Xenopus tropicalis: one gene and its partner. The protein of the gene in region 1 binds, or shares a complex with, the protein of each later gene. Links are inferred from orthologs where the notes say so. Each region holds a gene or a part of one and is shown on either strand. Other genes may lie near its edges.

Evidence for each region.
Region 2: the proteins of oprk1 (region 1) and pdyn are in contact, whole or in part, in a cryo-EM structure (PDB 8F7W), measured with the Homo sapiens proteins. The link is inferred for Xenopus tropicalis from reciprocal best matches to the Homo sapiens genes OPRK1 and PDYN. Residues at the interface, in NP_000903.2 of Homo sapiens: Thr111, Gln115, Trp124, Val134, Ile135, Asp138, Tyr139, Met142, Lys200, Glu209, Cys210, Asp216, Tyr219, Lys227, Val230, Phe293, Ile294, Glu297, His304, Ala308, Leu309, Tyr312, Tyr313, Ile316, Tyr320; in NP_001177821.1 of Homo sapiens: Tyr207, Gly208, Gly209, Phe210, Leu211, Arg212, Arg213, Ile214.

Annotation. Positions count from the first base shown.
Region 1 is NC_030682.2:114,704,934-114,708,769, forward strand, and holds part of oprk1 (kappa-type opioid receptor), read right to left. Parts: intron 620-3,836; coding exon 267-619; intron 1-266. UniProt on the Homo sapiens protein: G-protein coupled opioid receptor that functions as a receptor for endogenous alpha-neoendorphins and dynorphins, but has low affinity for beta-endorphins.
Region 2 is NC_030686.2:846,423-849,774, reverse strand, and holds pdyn (proenkephalin-B), read left to right. Parts: upstream 1-1,311; 5' UTR 1,312-1,360; coding exon 1,361-2,059; 3' UTR 2,060-2,815; downstream 2,816-3,352.

The DNA of each region.
Region 1 (3,836 bases):
TGCTGATCAGGACACAAATTGGGCCCCCATGCTGTTGGGAGTGTTTTCTTTAATACAGCAATATTTCTCTATACAATAAAATTAAAACAAAGTACATAATGGATTCTAAATTAATTTGTTTAAATCCTGAACTTCATCTGGGTGCCCAAAGAGAAAACATTAAGATGTCTTTATGGCAGTGGCAGTTCCACCCTGATCTGATGCCCAAATGCTACACGTTGCAAGCAAAATCACTGTAATTTGCAGTTTATTATCTGTGTACTTACCATCACTAATTTTAGTCCCTCCAAGTACAATAGCAGATATTCCAACAGAGGATGATAACATCCATATACATATATTGATGCATTTTGCTTTAAGAGGTGTACGGAAATCCAGGGCCTTTACAGGATGGCAAACAGCAATATATCTATCAACGCTCATCATGGTTAAAGTGAATATGCTGGTAAACATATTATAGTAGTCGATAGAAACCACAATTTTACAGAGGACATCTCCAAATGGCCAAGAATTCATTAAAAATGAAGTGCTTTGAAAGGGCATTGTAGTGGTAACTAGGGCATCGGCTAGCGCCAGGTTAAATATATAAATGTTGGTGGCAGTCTTCATTTTTGTATATCTGTTGGAATACAAAAAAATATAATAATAAGAAGAAAGTATGTTGCTCCATTTAAATGAAAAACCTTTACAATAATTCTTTTCTGGTAGAAAAGGCCTTTATATTGCTAGAATAACACATTCGAATATAAACATAGAATCTAAGTAAACACCCCAAACGATGCTTTTATTAAATTATAATATTACATTAGAATTCTATCTAATCTATCTAATCAGCCAAAAGGTTTTACCTTAAAAAAAGTATGTTAGTATGTTATAGAATGGTCAATTCAAAGCAACTTTTCAATTAGTCTTCATTATTTATTTTTTTTTAACGTTTTAAAATTATTTTTTTACTAATTATTCTTCTAACTCCTTGTAGCTTTCAAATGGGGGTCACTGGCCCCAGCAGCCAGAAAGCCATTGCTCTGTGAGGCCTCTCCTATTCATATTCCAGTTGCTGAACAAACACTGAAATCATTCAAAATCTACAAATAATAAAAAATGAAGATCAATTGCAAACTGTCTCAGAATATTACTCTCTACATCATACTAAAAGTTAACTCAAAAGGTGAACAACTCCTTTAGTGTGTGGACAACAGCATTTCCTTGTGCGGATACCAAGTGGAATTCATTCATTTAAACACACTAGCGGTTTACAATTACTTTGGTTAAAGAAACAAAAAAGAAGACCACATTTGCCAATTTCATCTGAATGTGTATACCCAAATTCAGTAGTTCTGTGACTATAAGGAGATCAGCACTTTAGGACTGGGTTTTATCTGCATAGATAAAGTACTGGAACCCAAAAACTTAGTTTCCATAGATATATGGCAGAGTGAGAAAAGCAGAGTTGCAGACTAAGCACTGGAGCACTCCAACAGAGTAGGGGAGAAAGGTAAGGGGGCGGGGATCTGCCAGATGGAGGGTGGCACATAAATGTTGGGGATTAGAAATAAAAGGGGAGAGTAGAGAAGGGAAATATATTTATGAAACCTATGATAATGCTCTGTTACAGTGGGAGACATTGTGAATTCATTTTATGTACTCAAACTCTGACCTTCATACAATTAAGCAAGGGCATCTTTGGAGTAAGTGCAATGACACAGTATGCCATGATAGGGGATTCCATGAATAAGACTGGCAGATAGTATTAGAAGCAATAGTACAAATGGAAGAAGAGACAGAAACTTAACCATGGACATTGCATTGTGGCCATGTGAAATAATTATTAATCAAATGTAGATATGATTAGCAGTGCCACTGCCAGAAGCACAAGATTAATTGAATCCCTTCTCTTAACTAATTACAGTGCTCTTATGTTTGCCAGTATAACAGGAACTAGGAAATAATTCATTTATGGGGATGAGTAAACCCCAAACATACAAATCATTTGCACAGAGCATAAAGAAAAGCTCAGTGTGCCACTGACCGCACAGTCCATGGTGGTGTAGCAGTGTTATGTACTGTAAGGAAGTTGGGTTGAGAAATGAACAATTGTCAACCACATGGTTGCATCATATTTATATACACTGTATCAGTTTCAGTTAATTGGATATTTTAGTTCTTGCTGCAATCTAGTCAAGTACTTCCAACAAGTTTAAAATGATGCCTAATAGTGAAAAAAGAATACTAAATTTGTCTTAATAATAATGGGTCACTAGGAAGCACACAGTATGTGAGATCTAGTTTTATGTTCTTGCTACAATGTATAGAAAAACATCTGGGAATTGCATCTGTTGCTCGCAGTCATCTTTAGTCCTTTCATTACTGGCCATGCTTCGTAGTGATGTGCAACTATGACCTGTTGGTAGACCATGTACCTGGAACAGTTTGTTGCAAAAGGATTACATGATATAGTTCACTAAGACAGGGTAAAATATTAGGGAGAACAGTACAATATTGTGGATTTCTTCTCTCATTTTGTCTAAAATGTATTCTTCAATCTTCCATTGGAAATAATCAGATTTTGTTCTGGCCTGAGCTGGCAAACAAATTTCAACAATAATTTTGGTCAAAGTACTTTATAATTATGACAAGTCAAAATTGCATAGAATTTTTGTTTAAACTAAATTTATATTGTAGTTTAATAAATAGGTGAACATTAAAAGAAAAAAATTTAAATCTGCAGTCTCCAAAAAATTCTATTATTCTGTTACTTAATATGCTCCTATTGTGTCTGTTACCCTCCCACTTAGATTGTAAGCTCTGCAGCACTTCCTCTTGTTTCTTTGACACTTAGGATCTTTTATGTATCTGTACTGTGTATTTATTTGTATTAATTACTGTAATGACGCGTTTGTCCTATTAATTTATTGTTCTGCTATACATTACTGCGTACATAAGTAGCACTACTGAAATAAAAATATACACACAATCTATACAGTACATACATAATTTAAGCCCTGCATGCTAGAAGATGATTTGCGTCAGATAGATTTGACTTTTATATAACCTCAACAGCTTTTAGATATTTTTTTTCATTTTTACTTTCAGATTTGTTGCAGTTTTGATGCATAATAAATCAAGTTTTTTTCTGTCGAAAAAAGGATTTTGTGCAAAAAAATATAAATTGTGAAAAAATACCCCCCACAAAGCTGTGGTATTTTTTTTAAAAAACAAAAATAAAAATAAAGAACAACCAATTTGATGGTTTCTACTACTTCTTAGAAAATAAATCATTTGGTGCTGTTAACATTTTCTAAAATGATTAAACTCATCATTATTAATTTTTTCATTACTGCTTTATTTTTCCTTGCAAGATGAAGACACCATTTCCAAGCCAATTACTGATAAAAGCAAAAATGATTAATATTTCTAGCAGGTACTGCTCTTTAGTCCAAGGTAGGCTCATCTGACATGTAAAAGAGTAATTTATTGTAACTGACAGGGAAAGAGATACATGAACAGAGTAACAATGTCACTAACACAATGTGAGATACAGGCAAAAACAGAAAAATAGTAGCGTGAACAGCATTTTTATCATCTGACATGATTAGCTAATCATTTGTTCATTTGGCACTACATAGATGGCAATAACGGAAATTTCCAGGGAGGTCTTTGCTACTGTATCAGTATGTCTACATTAATAGAGCAAACCACATTCATTCTATTTCTGCAGTGTCAGATGGAACAGCATTCAGAATTTCTTTATCAGGAGAGTTATACAAGTAATGTGGATCTTTGTTTATTCAAGACTTATAGAATGAGAGAAGAGTATGGATATTGGTTTCTGGATG
Region 2 (3,352 bases), on another chromosome or scaffold:
ACCAAATACACCAGCCTCTACATCCCCTCCCCACCAAATACACCAGCCTTTACATCCCCCTCCCCACCAAATACATCAGCCTCTACATCCCCCTCCCCACCAAATTCACCAGCCTCTACATCCCCCCTCCCCACCCAAATACATTAGCCTCTACATCCCCTCCCCACCAAATACATCAGCCTCTACATCCCCCTCCCCACCTACATCCTCTTCCCACCAAATACATCAGCTCTACTCCCCTCCCCACCAAATACATCAGCCTCTACATCCCCCTCCCCACCAAATACACCAGCCTCTACATCCCCCTCCCCACCAAATACACCAGCCTCTACATCCCCCTCCCCACCTACTCAGCCTCTACATCCTCCTCTCAAACAATACACCAGCCTCTAATCCCCTCCCCACCAAATACACCCAGCCTCTACATCCTCCTCTCCACCAAATACACCAGCCTCTACATCCCCCTCCCCACCAAATACCACTAGCCTCTACATCCCCTCCCCACCAAATACCACCAGCCTCTACATACCCTCCCACCAAATTACATCAGCCTCTACATCCCCTCCCCACCAAATACACCAGCCTCTACATCCCCTCCCCACCTACATCAGCCTCTACATCCCTCTCCCACCAAATACATCAGCCTCTACATCCCCCTCCCCACCAAAATACATCAGCCTCTACATCCCCTCCCCACCAAATACATCAGCCTCTACATCCCCCTCCCAACCAAATACACCAGCCTCTACATCCCCCTCCCCACCAAATACACCAGCCTCTACATCCCCCTCCCCACCTACATCAGCCTCTACATCCTCCTCTCCAACAAATACACCAGCCTCTACATCCCCCTCCCCACCAAATACACCAGCCTCTACATCCCCCTCCCCACCTACAATCAGCCTCTACATCCTCCTCTCCAACAATACACCAGCCCTCTACATCCCCTCCCCACCAAATACACCAGCCTCTACATCCCCCTCCCCACCAAATACATCAGCCTCTACATCCTCCTCTCCACCAAATACACCAGCCTCTACATCCCCCTCCCACCAAATACACCAGCCTCTACATCCCCCTCCCCACCAATACACCAGCCTCTACATCCCCTCCCCACCAAATACACCAGCCTCTACATCCTCCTCTCCACCTACATCAGCCTCTACATCCTCCTCTCCACCAAATACACCAGCCTCTACATCCCCCTCCCCACCAAATACACTAGCCTCTACATCCCCCTCCCGACCAAATACACCAGCCTCTACATCCCCCTCCCCACCAAATACACCAGCCTCTACATCCCCCTCCCCACCAAATACACCAGCCTTTACACAGAACTTGCTGATTAACTTTTGCCCCCATGCAGGTATGTTCCTTGCAGTGTGAGGGGTCTCTACTTCCTGATGATGAATGGGAGAGGTGTGGCCAACTCTTATCTTCTCAAGAAGAGGTCCTAGAAGTGAAGAGGGAGCAAGAACTGGTGCCGCCAATGTTGGACTCCCAAGACATGCTGGTAAAGCGCTACGGGGGATTCATACGGAAGCCCGATAAGAACAAATTCCTTAATGCTAAGCGTGAGAACTTTAGCAAAAGGTACGGGGGGTTCCTGCGCAAATATACCCTGCGAGACCTCCCGGATGTCTCTTCCAATCCAGAGGCAAAGCTGGAGTCTCCAGATGCTGAGGAGCTGGGCTGGTTCAGTCCCACCTGGGGCACTAAGGACGAAAGGAAAAGATATGGGGGGTTTCTGCGGAAATACCCCAAGAGGATTCTAAGCCAAGAAGGGGATTTCGAGAGAAGAAGGAGGCTACAGGAGGGGCTGGAGGCGGGGCAAGCCATAGTCACGGGGCAGGAGATAGAGACAGGGCAAGAGCTGGACCTAGAACGTGGCACTGCAGAGCTAGAGAAGCGATACGGAGGGTTCTTGCGCAGAATCCGCCCCAAACTAAGGTGGGACAATCAGAAACGGTACGGGGGGTTTCTACGGCGCCAGTTCAAGGTCAATGCAAGGTCAGAAGAGGACCCCACCATGTTCTCAGGGGAGCTCTCCTACCTATAGAACGGAGGTGGCTGCTGGGGGCGAGAAGGGATGGACATGGCAGAACCCACTCAACTTGTCTTCTTCATGTACCAACAACTCTAATGCCTACCCCCCTAACCATCCTCCAACCATACCCCCCCAAGAACACCAACTGCCCTTCAGCCCATCCCCTCATGAACACCAACTGCCCTTCAGCCCATCCCCTCATGAACACCAACTGCCCTTCAGCCCATCCCCTCATGAACACCAACTGCCCTTCAGCCCATCCCCTCATGAACACCAACTGCCCTTCAGCCCATCCCCTCATGAACACCAACTGCCCTTCAGCCCATCCCCTCATGAACACCAACCACCCTCCAGTCAATCCCCCCATGATGTACTTACCCCGCTCACACAACCCGACGCTACTGGACACTACTCAAGCTCCATTCCTGGTTTTCTGAAGGCCCCAAGAACCTCAGGAGCATGTATATGTGCAAGTTACCCATGCGCCCCCTATGGACACCGTCATGATGGTTCCCCCTCTCTCCCTTACTGCCCCATGTGAGGGGCAGAATAGTTACCATGCTGCTAACTAAACACAAGTCTCAGCCCATGTGACCTCCCAGCTTTGTGTGGAACACGGTTCCACCTCGCCGCCCCCCCACAGCCAATACCCACGGCAAATACCCACGGCAAATACCCACGGCAAATACCCACGGCGTCCCACAGACTTCAATGCCTCTTGTAAAATACGATTGTACAAATAAATTCACTTTATGTCCTAAAAGCAAACGGAAGTGGCTTTTTGTGATCTGTACGTGGGGCAAATAGAATGCTGCCCCCCAGTGGTGGAGCCTTACTGGGCAGTAGTACAACTCCTTGTGGTACTTATGGGGCATTACAGGTACACTAACCCTATAGATCTCTGTGGGGCAAATAGAATGCTGCCCCCCAGTGGTGGAGCCTTACTGGGCAGTAGTACAACTCCTTGTGGTACTTATGGGGCATTACAGGTACACTAACCCTATAGATCTCTGTGGGGCAAATAGAATGCTGCCCCCCAGTGGTGGAGCCTTACTGGGCAGTAGTACAACTCCTTGTGGTACTTATGGGGCATTACAGGTACACTAACCCTATAGATCTCTGTGGGGCAAATAGAATGCTGCCCCCCAGTGGTGGAGCCTTACTGGGAAGTAGTACAACCCCTTGTGGTACTTATGGGGCATTACAGCTACACTAACCCTATAGATCTCTGTGGGGCAAATAGAATGCTGCCCCCCAGTGGTGGAGCCTTACTGGGCAGTAGTACAACCCCTTGTGGTACTTATG